3 linked regions of the Schizosaccharomyces pombe genome follow. The protein of the gene in region 1 interacts with the protein of each later gene in a biochemical or structural test. Each region holds a gene or a part of one and is shown in the gene's direction. Other genes may lie near its edges.

The links. The genes of interacting proteins can lie anywhere in the genome.
Region 2: the proteins of gem7 (region 1) and gem6 form a complex in vitro, tested with the Schizosaccharomyces pombe proteins (one study listed by BioGRID).
Region 3: the proteins of gem7 (region 1) and yip11 form a complex in vitro, tested with the Schizosaccharomyces pombe proteins (one study listed by BioGRID).

The regions. Positions count from the first base shown.
Region 1 is NC_003423.3:2,786,700-2,793,855, forward strand, and holds gem7 (protein Gem7), read left to right. Parts: upstream 1-1,770; coding exon 1,771-2,046; 3' UTR 2,047-2,188; downstream 2,189-7,156. Other genes in the region: rec14 (Ski complex WD repeat subunit Ski8), read left to right, coding at 279-567, 621-1,240; H2O2 scavenger glutathione peroxidase Gpx1, read right to left, coding at 2,372-2,848; gamma-tubulin Gtb1, read left to right, coding at 4,771-4,819, 4,882-4,994, 5,044-5,097, 5,167-5,643, 5,688-6,152, 6,203-6,318, 6,377-6,443; protein Cwf12, read right to left, coding at 6,523-7,028, 7,120-7,156.
Region 2 is NC_003424.3:5,353,080-5,358,269, reverse strand, and holds gem6 (SMN complex subunit Gem6), read left to right. Parts: upstream 1-3,956; 5' UTR 3,957-4,050; coding exon 4,051-4,332; downstream 4,333-5,190. Other genes in the region: rer2 (cis-prenyltransferase), read left to right, coding at 1-77, 190-449, 496-712, 768-878; F-box/WD repeat protein Pop2, read right to left, coding at 1,028-3,139; pgc1 (glycerophosphoryl diester phosphodiesterase), read left to right, coding at 4,598-4,713, 4,845-5,190.
Region 3 is NC_003424.3:4,903,363-4,910,343, reverse strand, and holds yip11 (SMN complex subunit Yip11/Gem2), read left to right. Parts: upstream 1-3,949; coding exon 3,950-4,116; exon of another isoform or gene 4,117-4,221; coding exon 4,222-4,570; exon of another isoform or gene 4,571-4,644; coding exon 4,645-4,836; 3' UTR 4,837-6,123; downstream 6,124-6,981. Other genes in the region: 19S proteasome regulatory subunit Rpn502, read left to right, coding at 1-847; rsm22-cox11 tandem protein cox1102, read right to left, coding at 1,105-3,366; bud20 (zinc finger ribosome biogenesis protein), read left to right, coding at 6,168-6,244, 6,304-6,601. UniProt on the Schizosaccharomyces pombe protein: The SMN complex catalyzes the assembly of small nuclear ribonucleoproteins (snRNPs), the building blocks of the spliceosome, and thereby plays an important role in the splicing of cellular pre-mRNAs.

The DNA.
Region 1 (7,156 bases):
TTTAAACAATTTAATTCAGTGTCACGGTTAACAACTAATAATCTCACCTTCTCATTTCTACCTACAGAAAAGAATTATTTTCTTTCATTCATACTTATAAATTCATCTTTTCACTAACATGTTTAGGGTATGTGCATAGACCGTGTATATCTAAGGAGAACGCAACCACAGTAAACTAAGTCCTGCTAGTCACAGGTTTAAGTATTATAAAGTATTGGAAAGCGCCAGCATTTTAATTACTAATTTTGTTGTATTATTTTCCTTATTTATTAGATACTATGAGGAAAGAGTATCTCGTTAGCCATATAGAAGAAAATGCACATCAAGCAGACATTTACTCTCTCAATGTAGTCGCAGGCAATCTTTGGTCGGCTTCTGGGGATTCCAAAATAAAAAAATGGTCTATAGGTGATGCTGAGCATAGCTTAGTTGAAGAAATAGATACCCCTCATAAACTTGGCGTTCATCATCTAGCAACTAGCTTGGATGAAAACGTCGTCGTTTCTTGCGGATTTGGACAGGATGTTTATGTTTGGAATCCTGAAACTAATGAATTTCGAGACTTGGGTACGAATTACTTTACGAAGAAGCTATGCATTTCTCTAACGAATATGATTTAGGTAATAATGCTCAACATCCCAGCGAATGCTGGTCTTCTTGCATTAGCCCTGATGGACAAACGATTGCTTTCACATCTGTAGACGGGCGTATTGCTGTCTGGGACAATCCAAGTGATTGCAAAATTTCCGAGTTAGATACCAAAGGTAAATTCGGTCTTTGTATAGACTATTCTCCCAATGGAAGATTTATCGTTTCTGGTCATCAAACTGGGCAGCTTTTCCTTATAAGTACAGAAACAGGACGCTTGTTTCATGTACTATCGGGCCACACTTCCCCTGTACGATCAGTGGCGTTCTCTCCTGGTTCAACACTTTTAGCTGCTGCCGGGGATTCTAAAATGATTACTATCTACGACGTTTTATCAGGGGATCAAGTCGGCCAACTTCGTGGTCATGCTGCATGGATTTTTGCAGTAGCTTTCAATCCCGTAGGTGATTTGTTGCTTTCGGCTGATGTTGAAGGAAAAATCAAAATCTGGGATATTGACACCATGGAATGTATTAGTACACAAAGTGAAACGGATGGAGCTATTTGGGCTGTGGCATGGTATAAAAATGGGTTCATCGTCGCAGGTGCTGATAAAAGTATTCGTTGGTATAGAGCTGCTGCTACAGAATAATTGCACTCTTGTGCTTTCTTAATGACCGATGGAAAAGTTTTTAAAAAATAGCAAAAAATTAAGGAGTTTCTAATATTTGGATTAATTATGAATATCAACACTTTACTCGTAAAACGAAAGGATCTTGAAATGGATTATTTTAGGGTAACGCATTTTTCTTTTCACTTTCATCATTACAAGTATGTTTGTATCATTGTTTACTTTCGTTCGATACGCTTTTACTTTTTATATAAATTATCTAAGCATAAATTCCTAAGGAAATACGAATCTCATTCAAAGTTTCCATTGTATTTAAAACATGAGTTGACTCATAATATCTATAAAAGTTTATTTTTTATTTTATAGGTAATGGTTAGCTTAGTTTCTTATGTGTTTTAACTGTATTACATTACGTGCCTAGAAAGTTTACTCTCACATACGATAACGACGCAAACCGTTTAAAACCATGCACATACTGCATATGTTATAATCTTTACTTTGAAGACTTTTTGTAATTCAAGATTACTTTTTGTTGATAAATTTTCACACTAATGGCAGAAAATAATAAAAAGTCTACTGCTTACATCCAGAGGATGCGAACACTAAAATTTTATCAAAAAATGGCTTCTGCGCGAATCCCGATCACTGTGTACCTCCACGATCAACGAGAAGTAAAAGCAGAATTTGGAGCGATAGACAGTAGTGAGTCAAAGTTGGCAGTTTCCAATCTACAAACCGATTGGGGCGTTATTAACAGAGCGGTGATACGAACAGGAGACGTCGTGGGCATCGAATACAATTTGGTGCAGGAAGAAGGAGAACTTTGATGATACATTACGATTTTCAGATACAGAAGCCTTAACAGCCATGGTATTCAATTCAGTGTTTACAGATGAGAAAGCGTGATGTACATAGTATGCATAGTTGTATAGAAGCGCAACATAATTAATGTTATTTATTTAGGAGGAATATTAAAAATAATATCGTAATATTGTATATTTTGCTGGATTAAAGCAAATAACTTTTGCGTCAAACGGATGGTAAATCGTGAAGTTCATTAAACTTCCAAAGGATCAGAAGAATTAGTGTGCCACTGAAATTAAAAGCGGGAAGAAATGATCGCTTACACTGCAAATTTGTTCCAGTATTTTTTTAAAGGACACTCTCGATATCGTTTTCGAGATGTTCAGGCTTGCTAATACTGGAATAGCGTTCGATGACTTGACCTTGACGATTGACCAAGAACTTTTCAAAATTCCACTTAATACGCTCAAGGCCAAGTTGCTTCTTTTGGCTCTTCAAGAATTGATAAACAGGGTCGACGTTGTCGCCATTAACATTGATCTTGGCCAGTACAGGGAAGGTTACGCCATAGTTCTTTTGGCAAAATTGAGCGATTTCTTCGTCAGAACCGGGTTCTTGGTTTCCAAATTGATTGCAAGGGAATCCAAGGATGATAAATCCTCTATCCTTGTATTTCTGATACAACGCCTCAAGACCTTTGTATTGAGGAGTGAATCCACATTTGCTCGCTGTATTGACAACAAGGACCACTTTACCCTTCAAGTTGCTGAAAGGAAAAGGATTTCCATCCTTGTCCTTAGGAGCCAAGTCGTAGAAATGAGACATTTTAACTTACAAAACTCAATACTAATAGAATGAGTAGGTTGAAAGTAAGGTGTAGCGCGGCTGACCGTCCTACTTATGTTTCCAGCTGACCTTATTTCATAATGACATCAGACCTTAGTTTGGGTCAACACGATCTTTTAACAAGAGAAATTTACGTAAAATTAATAAAAATTCCAAGGAAGAAAAGTCGGATCGCATTTATCAAAAGAAATCTTATTTATTTAATCAGTCTCACATTCTTTTTCCTTTGTTTGCTGCTTTTAAAGTTAAAAAAAGGATATGTCGCAGTATACTGCCATTGTCTTTTGTCAACATACCACCAAAATGACAGAAATTTTTGCTGCTATTTAGTAAAAATATTTCAAATTTCGTATTTGTAAAGGTTATGCATAGAATGGCTGAGACTCATACTTAAACAGTATAGGTATCTAAACATTGTATGGGGCGATTGTAGCAGCAAACGATTAAGTAGTTTGCGTTAGTTACAACACCTAGTAATGGTTTGCTACCTTTTGTTTAAAATAATAGTAGACGAGATTGCCAATGGCCGATGTTGTTTATCTTAAAGTTGAAAGTGAAGCGAAACCTTTTTCTAACTTTAAGAGTGGGATTTCTTCCATCCAAAAGAATATGCACTGCAACAAGATATAGGACACAGGCAAATTATTTGACAAAAACAAGGAACCGTATAACTACTTTTTTACTTTAATCTACAAATAAATTAGTAGGATGTAGAAAAAGGTATCAGTGATAGATTATTTATGTATTATCTTAAAAGTATTGTTTTTTGCCCTTTGAAGGGCAAAAAGCAAAAAGGATCAAAATTATGCTCCAGCAGTGACTTGAACACTGGGCCTCTTGCTTACTAGGCAAGCGCTCTACCACTGAGCTACAAGAGCTAGTTGGAATCATTTGCTAAAAGGTATATATATATGCATAACTATTAAGAAATGCTCAGTATTTTTTTGAAATAGAAAATGTTGATATTCGGTTTCTATTATTAAGTTTTAAATTCCAAACATTGTAAATATGTCGTCGTTCTTTACATTCTTTTTTTAATAAATCTTGGTTTAAGTTAAAACCCAATTTTACAAGCTCGCAACTTTGTTGTTAATAAAAAAAAATGTTACACCTGCTAAATAAATATTAAAATCAAACTGTTGTTGTGTGGTATTACCTTATTGAGCTTAATTATAATTTCAGTAAAAATTTATGTTCAATTTTTTTTTTTACTTTCAATTAATTTATTTATTTATTAATTTGTAAAATATTTAGACCTTTGCCAAATAATTATTTGTTAATTTTTCATTTTCTACAATCTGTATTAATTAAGATAAAATTGTCTTCAAAAATACTTTTAGTTTTTGGAAAATCATTTGTTTCAGTGTTTGAGTATCCACATGAATTGTCTAATTTTATATCACTATTATTTTTTTATTCGAACACTCATAAATTGTGTCTATTGTGTTACTTTCAATTTTAATATTTACATTCAAAGTTGCATATATTTTTTACGAAATAATGTACTAAATGATTTAGAAATATTTAGATACGATAGTAATCAATACTAAATTTTATGACACATTCTAAATTCACTTACTTTGGCTTTCTAATTTCCTGTTAGAAAAATTGTCATTCCTAATTGAATTTTGCAGCAATGCTCGAATCAGCTCCAAGGTTGATAAATTTATAGTCAAGAAATATGTAATTATTTATAATAATCTAGTCTAGTTGACCTGGAAAATGTTTGCTTTTCTTACTACCAACCTTCTCTTATCGACCTACAGTTCACCCAAGCACAGCGAAATACCTCAAGATACCCTTCTTTTGAAAACCACCTATTTCAGCAAAAAATCTTTCGCGGTTGTACTTTTAAGTAAGAAGCAAACATCAAAGATTGTTTGCTCCTTCATTGTTTAATCATGGGCAGAGAAATCATTACGTTACAAGCTGGTCAATGTGGTAATCAAAGTATGTTCACCTATACTACTATTAATCAAATCGAAATTCTAATTACTCACAAACTTGTCTAGTTGGTTCACAATTCTGGCAACAGTTGTGTTTGGAACATGGCATTGGGCCTGATGGCACGCTAGAAAGTTTCGCAACTGAGGGTGTTGATCGAAAAGACGTTTTTTTCTACCAGGTTGGTTTATTGATACACTTTAAAGTTTCAACATGTTAACTCATTTTAGTCTGATGATACTAGATACATTCCTAGAGCCATTTTGATTGATCTGGAACCAAGAGTATGTTATCGCATCCTTTTATTAGTATTTGCTGAAATATTCAAGTGACTAATGTCCTCTTTACCTTAGGTGGTCAACAATATTCTAAGCGACACCTACGGCAGCCTTTATAATCCCGAAAATATACTTATTACCAAAAATGGAGGAGGTGCTGGCAATAATTGGGCTAATGGTTATTCGCATGCTGAGAGGATTTTTGAAGATATAATGGACATGATAGATCGTGAAGCTGATGGAAGTGATTCTCTAGAGGGTTTCTCGCTTTTACATTCTATCGCTGGTGGAACGGGTTCTGGGCTGGGCTCTTTCTTGCTTGAGAGATTAAACGATCGTTATCCCAAGAAGATTATCCAAACTTATTCAGTATTCCCTAATAGTCAATCCGTATCAGATGTTGTGGTTCAGCCTTACAACAGTCTTCTTGCATTGAAGCGACTGACATTGAATGCTGATTCTGTTGTTGTGTTGGACAATGCAGCACTTGCTCATATTGCTGCTGATCGGTTACATACTCAGAACCCTACGTTTCATCAACAAAACCAATTGGTAATTGATTTATATTAGGTCTTTTCATCAACTAACTATTCTAGGTTTCAACTGTTATGTCTGCCAGTACAACAACTTTAAGATATCCTGGCTACATGAACAACGATCTTGTCAGTATAATAGCTTCATTAATTCCAAGTCCTCGCTGTCACTTTTTACTAACCTCATACACTCCTTTTACCAATCAGCAAGTGGAAGAAGCAAAGGCCATTCGGAAAACTACCGTGCTTGATGTGATGAGAAGGTTGTTGTTGCCTAAAAACCAGATGGTTTCCGTCAATCCTAGCAAAAAGAGTTGCTTTATTAGTATTTTGGATATCATTCAAGGAGAAGCAGATCCGGCGGACGTTCACAAATCCTTGCTTCGCATAAGAGAACGACGATACGCTTCATTCATTCCTTGGGGACCAGCAAGTATACAAGTTGCACTTTCTAAAAAGTCGCCCTATATAAAAACGAACCACCGTGTTAGTGGACTTATGCTTGCAAATCACACTAGTATTGCCTCTGTATGTTTCTGCAAATTTTTTTTTGAGACATTTAATACTAATCTTTGTAGTTATTCAAGAGAACACTAGATCAATATGATCGTTTGCGGAAACGAAATGCCTTTTTAGAGCAATATAAAAAGGAGGCTATTTTCGAAGATGATCTTAACGAATTCGATTCTTCTCGGTAAGTATCTTGTCTTATAATTTCATATTTTGAGTTAATTTACTAATGTATTTGACAGCGACGTCGTTGCCGACTTGATCAATGAATACGAAGCTTGTGAAGATCCCAATTATTTATCTCTTTAAAAAATCCTTCATAGTTTACGATGTCAAAGCAGACTTAAAATATAAAATTAATTCTCCTATCCTAGTCCTACTTCATAATCTATGAAATTCTGCTCAGCAAAGCATTTTTACGCCTTTCTAAAAGAATGGCTTCAACATCGTCTCTAGTTGGTATTTGCTCAATGACAAGAGGTTTCCAATCTTGTTCAACTTCATCACCAAGGTTCTCAAGATGTTTATGTTGTTGTTCTTCAATCTTTGCCTCAAAATCTTCTAATAGACTCTCTTGTGCTGGCGGTATGTAACCAAAGTACCAGGCGTCTAACCTTCTTTTCTGCATCTCCTGTTTGCGCTGTCTTTCCGGTATAAAACTCATATCAGCTTCAAAAAGTTCCTTAACGCCAGGTAACTCTCGAGCTCTTCCGTAATAACGATAATCGTCTATATCACTGATTTGTTCTCCTTCATCCTCAAATAGCTTTGCTTTATTATACAGATAATTAATCCCACCCAGATCACGAATTTGTACCTCCCATTCGTGTTTTTCACGCATCAATCGATTAATTGCATCGTTCAAATCTCGAATTTGATATTCAGGCAACGTTGCTATTCATGGTTAGAATACACAGAAATGATAAAAGCGGAATCAAGTTTAGCAAGTTAATTAAATTTGCTAATAAAACAATCTAGGACGTACCACTTTGAATTCGAGAGATCTTGCGAGAGATATCTTT
Region 2 (5,190 bases), on another chromosome or scaffold:
GCAATCGACGGTGGGCTCGTCAAAGAAGGATGGAAACTATCGAGGGTCATAGCTCAGGTTTTGAAGCTTTAAAATCTGTAAGTTTAAAGAACATTAATAGAAGGTTAAACGTACCGTTTCTCCATGTTTTGCGCATTGGTATCCGTCTACGTTCTGCACAATTTGGTACATTAACTAACCCTGCGTAAGCTATTAAAAGTGTGTCTGAAGTTAGGAGTTAAAGAAGTATCGGCTTTCACATTCTCCATTGAAAATTTTAAGCGATCTAAATATGAAGTTGATATGTTAATGGAGATTGCAAAAAACAGCTTAACGCAAATTACTGCTCATGGTGATTTGGTTGATCAGTATGGGATCCGTATTCGCATTGTTGGCGATCTTAGCAGGTTGCAACCTGACGTTTTAGAAACTGCTCTAAAGGCTGTGGAAATTACAAAACATAACACAAAGTATGTGAAATTTTTCAAATTTTTATTTTGCTAATTGACATCTTAGGGCAACATTAAATGTTTGCTTTCCATACACTTCTCGACATGAAATTGCTACTTCTGTGCAATCAATAGTAAAAATGGCAGAAGATGGTACAATCACTCCAGAAGATATAGATGAAGATATATTTGAAAAAAACCTATTGATAAAAGATAGTCTTCCTTTAGACTTGTTGATTCGCACTAGCGGTGTGGAGCGTCTATCTGATTTTATGTTATGGCAGGTAAGTAAAAATTCTCCTAATTTTCTAGTCAAAGATATTCAACTAATTTTATCAGTGTCACAAAAATACGGAGATAAAATTCATCGATTTCTACTGGCCGGATTTTTCTATCTGGAAGTTTTTCCCAATGTTAATTCAATACCAGTTACAAAACCAACCAGCATAATTTATTCAATCCTTCGTTACTTATTTACTTTTGATAGGCTTTGGCTGTTAATTTTACATTGTATACATTTAATATGTGTTAGTAGCTGATGTAAATAGTTAGACACTACTCTAATTATGTCTTCTTAAATATTGTTAAAATGAAACTTTCTACGGTCTTGATCCGGAAAAATTAATAACTTCCAAATATGCTTGATCATCACGCTGCACTGCAGCCACACAACGCATAGCATCAAAATCGACATGCCATATTTTTGTGAGGTCTGTTAATAGAAAACGTAACAGCTTTCCAGTCCTAACATCCCATAACTTTACAGAACCATCATTACCACTAATAATTTTGTGTTCATCTGACACAAAGCTACTAATGTAGCCTGAATTAGACGGCAAAACCATTAATGGTTTCCCAGTATTCAAATCCCATATTCTAATTGTGGAGTCAGCAGAACCTGATATCAACCTATTCTGGAATACATTAAGAAGCGTAACAAAGGCATCATGGCCTTCAAGCACATATTTACAAGTCCCTGTCGATAAATCCCAAACCCTAATGGACTTATCCATGCTACCGCTTATGCAAATATTCCTTTCTGGTTCATATAAAACACTATATATACGAAGACTATGACCCCGCAGATGGTAAAGACATTCCCCTGTTGAAACTCTCCAAATGCGAATTGAAGAATCATAACTCCCACTCACAAGTATATCACCATAGCCGGATATAGTTCGTACAGAGTCTGTATGTCCTATCAAAGTATGTACAAAATACGGGTTCTTCTCCCAACGGTCAATAGAGTTTGTATTATCTGGAAGATAAGGAGGATCCGTGTTTTTTGGAAGCTTCCAAACCCGAAGTGTATGATCCCGAGAGCCGCTGACAATGTACGGTTGATCTGGTTCAACAATTTCAACTCCATGGCGAATAAGACGACTCGGAACTAAGATCTCTAAGCATCTGATGATGGAAATATGTCCCCTAAATATGTGCGTACATTTAGCTTTCTCTATGTTCCAAACGCGAACAGTTTTATCGATCGAACCAGATACAAGTGTATTCTCATGTATTTTGACAGCCCAAACACCTTCTTTATGACCCTCTAATCGAGCTTCTAAAACACCGGTAATAGCATTATGAATTTGAATTGTTCCAGATCCCGAAGTGGTGATTATTCTGTCTTTATGAAGTAGTAAAGAAGTTATCATAAAGTTTGGAACATGAATGGGAAAAGATAGATGACTTGGAGGTATCGAAGGAAATAACCATCGTTTTCTATTGAGAAAATGTCTTTTGAAAATTTCCGGAAAATAGTCATCTGAGATTTGGTCGTTGTGCAAAAAAGGTGGACGATTTAAGTTTGGATTAGCATATTTCCAGTCATTTTCATTGATTTGAAAGCCAAATAAACTAAACATGTGTTTCCAGTATGAAGTATGCACATCAAGTATTCTATTCCAAGTAGGCGAAACAAGACGGCAAGAAAGAAAAGAATGTATATCCAGATTTAATAATATAGACTGAACAATGGAAAAAGGAAGATTTGAAAGTATATCTTTTTTTAGAAGCGGCTCGCATTCATTCAATAATAAACGCATCGATTGCCGATTGCACGAACGGAGTAGTTGAAAAAACGCATAAGATTGAATTCCTTCTGGAAGATCCTCAAAAGTTTGAACAATTGACTGTAAGTTTAAATCTTCAAGATCCTCAGAGATAGGTTTACTACCAGGTGAAACAGTGTTTGATGTGTCGACTTTCGGAGAAGGAGGGAAATTGTCGGAGTTAGATGAAATGCTATTATCTAACTTAATTCGATTGTTTCTATCAATTGATATAATTTTAGGTGGAAGAGAAGAATGAGAATATAGAAAATTCCTTTGAGGAACAAGGGAAATGGAAAAATCGCCAGGAACACTATCTGGCGGTGAGTGGTCTAAGCATTTATAAGAGACATTCTCTATACTTTCATTAAACTTTCGAAGAAAAGAAGGCGTACAAGAATGCTTTAATGGGTACTGATACGAATCAGTGCACGGCAGGGAAGAACTCGTATTGCCATTACAACTATTTGATTCTGAGCGAGGATCCGATGCAATTTGATCATCTTGAGGAAGCAGGTTATCCCCATGAATAAGTGAAGAAGGAAATACTTGAGGATCAAATGATTCTGGAGGTGTAGCAGGGCTGCTGCTATTTATTAAAGGAACAGAGGAATTTATACGGGAGGACGAATTGTCAGTTGGACACCTAGAGAGTGACATGCGTAGATGCAATGATTGTGATTTTTCGTTGAAATAAATAAGAAGTCAAAAATGAGCTTTAAGGAAAACAGTCGATAAAACAATCTGAAAATAAATTGGAAAAGAGACCAATGAAAAAGTTACTGACAGATTGGAAAGAAGAAACAACACCGTTATGGTTTGTTTCTACAGATTAATCAAAAACTGGCATATGCCGAAATTAGATACAGATTAAAAAGTGCGGGCATAAAGAGAAAATGAATAATGGAAAGGTTTTTTTATAAGTAATCTTTTAATTGAAAAAATAACAGAAGCTCAATATGCGTTGTTCATACCATACAGAATCTTTGTGTGTGGTAGGAGGCAAGTTCTGGCGGAGAATTTGTAAACAAAAGTTCGTACAATGCGAATGCAAAACTTGTAATAAAAAGATACATGAATTGATACTTTTTAAGTAAATAAATATAAAGCGGTACCTAAAACAGGAAACATGGATTAAGAAAATTGAGTAGAAGTTATATGATACAGATTAGCGTAAGCAGCGTTTTCAAACAAAATATATGCATTTTTTATTTTTCTGAGCTAGAATTTGATGTTCGTTGATAAATAAAATAAGTTTTATGGAAGTTAATACGAAAACTGATTGTAAATCCCATTGCTGGTATATTGTTAGCAAAAAAAACCATAATGGCCTAAGTATCAGTTTCATAAATTCAAAAACAACTAAAAATTTGGGTTCGAATGAAAAACATACTTGATTTACGTCTGCTACGGAAGCTATACTCATCTTGTAATTCCACGCCTCTCATACAGCTACCGAAAATTGCTACTACTTTTTGACCTGAACATAAACCGTGTTTTAAAAAGTTTGGTTTTTATTAATGTTTTTTTTATCTTTTTTGTTTTCTCACATTATTTGAATAATTAATGAAATGGATTCTCACACAACAGAAAAGCGTAGAGGTTCTTACCTGCGCGTCCTGTTTAAGAATGGACGTTTACCAGTAGAAGGATTTCTTTGGAACTGTGATCCCTTGACTGGAACATTAATTTTGATTCAACCTCTTACTCCCAATACAGACGAGGTTGAAGATACTCATTATCGTTTTTATGGTATAATGTCGGATGCTATTCAGACCATTGAACCCGACGAAAGTATGTCTCCTCTTAATCAACAATCGCTAGCAGAATATGATTCTCTATTAACTTCATGATGCGAATTGCATTCAGCGTTTGAAATATATGATTTGAATCTACAATTCTGATGGATAATTCGCTTCTTTTGCGAGGGAAATGTTTTCCTTCCTTTATCGTAAATTAACTATATAAAATATTGTTATACTGAATTGACTTCGACGAATCACTTCAACGCCTTTTTTGCAACCTGAGCGGAGCGGAGTGATATCATCGGACTACAGTAACTGGTATATAGTTGCTACATTCTTTACTTCTCCCAATACCAACATCGTTCTCTTCAAAATGGCTTTTAACTACTCAATTGCCAATACCGTTGATGATGCTGCTCAAAGCATTGCTGAAAATACGAGTTCTTTAGCCACGTTTTCAAAACCGCCTTTGGTCATTGCTCATAGAGGGTATGTTTTATGAATGTATTAGTTGCATACTGCTTTTATTATTAGTAGACTTAGTTTCATATCTGCAACTTTGTACCCTTAATTGTCAAAATCCTTCTCCAATTTAGCAAATGTTTAACTTATGTTTACAGATACAAAGCTAAGTATCCTGAAAATACTATACTAGCATTTCAACAAGCCGTAAAGGCTGGTGCTGACTGCGTTGAAACAGATGTTCGACTAACTAAAGATGAAGTGGTTTGCATTTTGCATGATAGAAATCTTAACAGAGTATTCGGTGTTGATGTTGATGTTCGAGATCTTGATTATGAATTGGATAATGGTCATTTTCGTACCATTCAAGAGCCTCACGAGCCGTTACCTACCTATGAACAATTTTTGCATGAATTAACCAAGCATCCTGGCGTCAATCTACTTGTTGACATTAAGCCAGTAAACGATTTGTTAATTATTCCCAGAATGGTTGATGCAATGCTT
Region 3 (6,981 bases), on another chromosome or scaffold:
CGGATCTTTTGATTTGAAGGAAAAAGTTGCATTCATTTTGGATCAAGTTAGATTATTCTTACTGAGGTCTGATTACTACATGGCATCTACTTACACGAAGAAAATAAATGTTAAGTTTTTTGAAAAGGAAGACGTCCAGTCTTTAAAACTTAAGTATTATGAGCAAAAAATCCGAATTGGTTTGCACGACGATGCATATCTTGATGTTTGTAAATATTATCGAGCAGTTTATGACACCGCCGTGGTTCAAGAGGACCCCGAGAAATGGAAAGAAATATTAGAAAATGTCGTTTGCTTTGCCTTGCTTACTCCTTATGATAACGAGCAGGCAGATCTTCTTCACCGAATTAATGCTGACCATAAACTAAATTCTCTTCCTTTACTCCAACAATTGGTTAAGTGCTTTATTGTCAATGAACTAATGAGATGGCCCAAAATTGCCGAAATCTATGGAAGTGCTTTAAGGAGTAATCCTGTTTTTGCTGAAAATGACGAAAAAGGTGAGAAACGTTGGTCTGAACTTCGTAAGCGAGTCATCGAACACAATATTCGTGTAGTCGCAAACTATTATTCCCGCATTCATTGCAGTCGTCTAGGAGTGTTGTTGGATATGAGTCCTTCCGAAACAGAACAATTTCTTTGCGACCTTATTGCAAAGCATCATTTCTATGCCAAGATTGATCGCCCAGCTCAAGTCATTTCATTCAAGAAATCTCAAAATGTGCAAGAGCAATTGAATGAGTGGGGTTCCAATATTACTGAACTTCTTGGAAAATTGGAAAAGGTAAGACAGCTTATTATAAAAGAAGAAATGATGAATTCTATTCAACAGGCGGTAGCCAAATAAATTGTTCCGTCTCTATTTCATTTCGTTACTTTCATGACTTTGTCATTTAAATAATATACTATTGGTTCAAAGGCCTTCAACTTTTTTTACGAGAATACAATAGTTTTAATGTCGAATTGCAACCTCGGAGAAAGTTATTCTAGTAAGTTTGTAGTGATTTTCGTTGTTATTTGTCTCGTAACTAGAAGGTTAACTTGATGAATTATTTTAAATAAATTATTGTAGTTCACTCAATATGTAGTCCCTTAATTTTTATTTCAGTTGAGTTTAGTTAAAAGATTGCCATTGGTATCATATCTGGCCTCAAAAAAAGTATAGCTTAGAAGAATATCGTCAATATCCTTCATATTTGGATCATCAGCAAATTCTGGATCTATAAAGAAAAACACAGGCAAGTCTACTTTTTCATGAGCATCTAGCTTTTGCTCTTCAAAGCAAAAGCATGCAACCTTTGAGAAGTAAACAGCGGCTTGACCTGGTACTATATTATAAGTTGCAACTCCTACTATGTCATGGTCGGACGTATTTTCAGCAGTATAAAACCCTAGAGCAGTCTCGCCTGGAAGAACATATATTTCACGCTGCTGGGGCCAAAGCTTCCAGCTAAGGTTTCCTGCAACGTCGCCATTGAAAGTAACTCTGATTCTTTTATTGTCTTTACGAGGAACCATTCTTTCTGCATTCATACGACTTTGGTCGGTATTAAGAGTGCCACCATAACCTGTTTTCGAACAGAAAAGACGATATAAAGGTACAGCCGCATATGTCAAGCCCAACGCAAAAATGGAAATTGCAACCAGATAATAGATAGTGGTCCTTTGATTATAGTGGAATTTATCTCTCGAATATTGTCGTGAAATATTCCTGGTACCAGAGATGCAATTGTAACAGCTAAATGAAGTAAAAATACAAGGGAAACGATGTGAATTAAAGTCTGCAAATCGAGAAAAAGCTTTATGACGATTAGTCGAATAGAATCGTTTTCCGACAAAAATAGGATCTGCAGTTGTATTTCTTTCAACTTTGGGTTTATTATATGAGGGGGGATTGATTGAATAGGTAGAAGAAGCATCTTTTAAATGTTTAGTAATTTTACTACTTGGAGAAGTACTTTGAACTTTGCCCTCTAACGGAAACAAGTCGCCCCAAGCACTTTTCCTAGCTAATCGATAAGCTAGTTTACCTTGTGATTTAGGAACAATATTCCTTCTAAGCCGAGCATCGCTATCACAGACATCAATTATGACATGTCCATCTCGCTTCAGTGGAGGTCGAATTATACGTGGCCAGTTTTTAAGAGTTGGAGATGTAACATTCACATTTTCTAGTAAATCCTCATCATTCTTGAACCTTTGTGTGGTATTATTAAGCGGTCTAGTTATACCCTTTTGAATAACAACATAACTGTAATGAGAGCGATCCGAGGATCGACGATGAGAACGAGGGACATATAGACGGGAAAATGGGGATAGGAAAAAATGTTGTTTGAAAGAACAAATATTTGCTCTTACCCCATTTTCTATATCAATGGGGCAGCGACCATCGTGGGGACAGGGTGCTACAATATGGGCATTGAATTGTTTATCAGAAGTATTTTTACTTTTTTGCAATAGAAATGTTCTAGCTCTTTGAATCAAACTAAAGCCACGCTTTGTGCCTCGCTCGCAGAGCACCAAAAGACCACCATCATTTGACACGAGACTCCAAAGCGAACGAAGATAATCAAAGAGTTCTTTCTCCGATTTCATTTCAAGAAGCTTGTTAGATGCAATAACTAGAGTGTATGAATCCTTTTTACCCAATGGTAGACGGTTAAGCGTAACAGGGCTAGTTGGATTCGGCGAAGTTGACGGGTAAATGTTATGGTGAATATCATATATGATTTTTTTCAAAAATGGGTTCTCCTCAACAATTGAAACTGAATTAGGTGTGGGAAAGACTGAATAACTAGCTAGAGCACCAATACCTGGACCTTTACCGCAATCCAGTATATGTTGAGACTTGCAAGACACATCACTGTTTACAATTTTCAAGTCAGTCAATACGCTGTATAGAGAAGCATATTGATACGGCATAGACTGATGAATATAAGCTAAAACTTGGGGATCTGTCATAGTCCGAGTAGATTCATCTTTGAATGGCGCAGACAATGGAAGCTGAGATTCCGTAGCCAAATCTTTTTTAATATCATTAATAAATTTTTTAATTTGTCCTTTTTCGCTCTTTTTCAATAAATCGTCCACATATAGATTAAATTTTGTATGCAAACTAATATCACCACTTTTCTTTTGATCCTTTACCAAAAAGTCGAGTAAACTGGAAGCTTCTGGACGATGTGAAGAGATCAATTCGTTTTTATAATCAGAAAAGTTGTTTTGAACAGCTTGAAAATTTGCATTATACCACCTAATGGTAGTGGTTGTTCCATATGGTATGAGACATCGCTGATTTTGAAAAGTAAAGCAATTCCGTAAATTATAAAGAAACAGAATTTTATATCTGCATGTTAGAATGGGCATATGTGCTGCTCAAAACACCAATTCACCAATGAACAATGGGATTTGGGGATAAAGCACTGATCTGTATATTGTGTAGAGTAAGTGCCTGATTAAGTGGCCGCAGATGGTGTTACTTGCGTTGACAGAAGAATGAATAGTACAATTTCCTACATATCTATATGTTTTATGTTTATTAAATTAGTTCAAGGATAGGCAATTCTGTCTGAGTGAATATTCTCCCAGTTTTAGCTTCTTATACACTTCAAAAAAATGCAAAACTTTGAACTTCTTTGAAAATAAGAACAAGTAATAAATTTTATGATAGTAAAGGAATTATCAAGAAATAGCTAAAATTAGTTTTAGCATTACACTTGATCAAGATAGACTCTTCACATTGATAGTTCTACAGATACCTCTTTAACCTTACCATTCTATTATACTAGGGTAATCTTCGATTTACGAAACATTCCTTGTTAACTAACTACAAACGAAAAGTTGCCGGAAAAAAACAGCCTACATTCCTTGAGTATTTTCATGAAAATTCGGTAATTCTTTTCCATTTGGTTTATATGAGAAGTTTGCAATTGTACAATAATAATTCAAAATGCCCTCGAAAAGAAAAAGAAATCCTTTACAATATCAGACTTCAGGATCATTAGATGAGGAAACAAATCAACGCAGCGCTTTTCCACAAATCGACAACAATAGTGCTTCAGAATCTTTGGAATATGATATACCACTTGATGGTTTAGATTATTTAGCAACTGTGAGGTACGAACATTTATATATGAATTTTTGTGAAAATCGAAATTTGCAACATGAATGCTTTAATCTAATCATTGTAACAATAATTGGGCTTTTTACTGACAAGTTCAGAGAAGAAGCTCGCAAGCTAGTTCCATTTGTAGCGGCGCGTCGTGAGCCTGAAACAAGAGAAACCATTCCTCTTCGCAAATTGGAAATCGAGGCCGGCAAAAAAAGCTTTGACCCGTTTTTACGATACTTACTAAACATAATTGATAAAGAAGGGGAAAGGCTTGAGCAATATATGGAATCTTCTTCATTGGACGCATCTATTTTACCTAAAAATTTACAACAATGGCGTGTATATATTGAGCATAAAGCTCCTTGTTGGGCCATATTAGCAGTGGTTGATTTGGCAACTGTTTTGGAGATCCTAGAAAGCTTGTCCAGCTGGCTTGAAAAGGACGCAATTGATTTACAGGTTGGTAACAAGGATCTCATGCTACTTTGCTGGTGTATTTTTGTTCATTCTAAAATTTGCTAACATTTTTCTAGAGTCAATGGATTTTTTGCTTTTGTTATAAACTTCCTGAGCTTTTGAATGGAGAAGATATATCGACCCTACGTTCAGTACTCAAGTCTTTACGAAGTACGCATACTTCTTTTCCTGCTCTGCAGATGTCAGCATCTGCCCTTCAAGCAGTCTTAGTTTATCGATATGGACAAAAAGATCTCTTTCAAACATAGAGTCTATAAATCTTGGTCGAAAAAAATTTAGGTACACATGTTCATATAGCATACGTTTGTTTATAGGGAAAAAATTAAAATTGATAGCTTGTTTTAAATATGTTTTTAGGATATTATTACTTTTTTGAATGAAAACATATGCTACACGGATATGCTGGGCTTTGCATCTTTGAACATGTGATTAAGCAAGCTTGGAGATAGCTGCAATAAACAATTTGCCTATTACAAATCGATAGATATATTTTAAAAAAACACGTTTGAATTGAGATAGGCAAAGTTATTTGTTTATTGATTCACATTTTCATTTTACAAAAAATGGCTTACTATTTGTTTAGTACGTGCATTCGTTTTGCTGTCTGCATACTTGTCGAATCGAGGGTTTCAATTATGTTATTACATGATAACTAGCAACTTTCTTTAATTCGCGCCCCATCTTACGAAATTAACTAATAAATTTTTACTGTCTTTTTCGACCGAGTGATTTTTTACCCATATGAGGTTTTTCAAATTCAAAACTAATTGAACATTGCAATTATTCTTTGGGAAAAAACAAAAGTCAAATAAAGATAAAATAAAAAAGAAATAATTACAACCTCACTGCCAAGAACCCCTTCGTGGTTAATTGAATCTTTTGAGTTCGAGCAATCAAGCTCCTTTTGTAAAACTAAATGTCACTAAAATTGCTCACACTTCAGTATAGCAGTCTAAATGGAGAGCTCAATTTTTTCCTTGCTGATAAGCGGACTCTGATCTCGCTACGTGAATACTTTCTTTCCTTCGACTAAACGTCAACTTGTCGAGACTTTGATGAAATAGTGGCAGTTAAAGCCAGAAAGCTACTGAATGTTAATTCATTTCTTCTATAGTTGCCATGTACTAAGAATCACGCCTAAAGCAATTTTCCCTAATAAATTCCGATGCTAAACATCCCTTAAATTACAAAGTTTTGTCAAACGATGGAGCAATCGTCGCTTAAAAAGCGCAATTTCAAAGGCATGCATTTCAACTTGCTTTGACCATGCTCTCCCAAATTTTGAACGAATATTTATTTATTAAAAAATTTACGCTACTTGAGCTATTCAGAACAATCAATAATACATATCTAATACATTTCTCTTGCTTTTCAACTATATAACGAGGCTTTCCTTCTCGTTATTAAACTTATCGCAAACTACGATAGGAAAATAAGATTATTTGAGAATTATTTTTCACTATACGATATAGCACACATTACGCCGTTTGGATATTGAATGTGTTTACGCTTAAAAAAGTTTATCCTTTGCAACTAACATTGTAATTGTGGTAAACGGGTTTGTTTGAAGTGACGGACAATGGGAAGAGTTGCCAGAAAAAGAAAGCATCATAGCAATGGAAATCATGCTTTGTTTAGAACTCGTGTTTATGGGAGGTATGCAAATTTCATGGTCATTCAATCATCGTTTGGTAAATTAACAATTGGACAAATAGAGACTTAGATCAGATTCACAATGACTTAACAGAGTCTGAGAAATTTGATAAATTACCTATAGATCCGGATTTGCCAGGTTTAGGTCAACATTATTGCATTGAATGTGCACGGTACTTTGACTCGTCTCAAGCATTGCTGGTGCATAAGAAGGGAAAGGTTCACAAACGAAGGTTAAAAAATTTGCGTGAAGAGCCGTATACACAAGAAGAAGCAGAAGCTGCGGTGAATATTGGACAGCCAAAACAGAGTGTAGCTTCCAAGCTTGCTGACAATAGTAACGTTGTCATGGCGGACTAAACTAGAGACACATTTACGAATGCTAAGTTAGTCAGCACTTTTGCTTTTGTTCCATATTCGTAGCGCATGCTCTTTATTTAAACAGATTTTTATATGTCTCATTCTCATTTATTCTGCTATATTATCATTAGCAGCGTTTATTGGTAATTTTAGTTGCATCCATGTTTGGATTACAAATTTACAACTAATACCTTACCATTGGTTACTGGATGTTAATCTAGCTTCAAGAGTGAGCATCTCAAACTACCTTCACGTTATTTTGGTTTCTTTGGATACATGGTGTTTTAAATAAATAAAATTTTTTTGATAATTTTTTCATAACGCATTCGCTATCATTTAACAAAATCCTCGTAAAAAAACAAATTCATCAAAGAACGTTT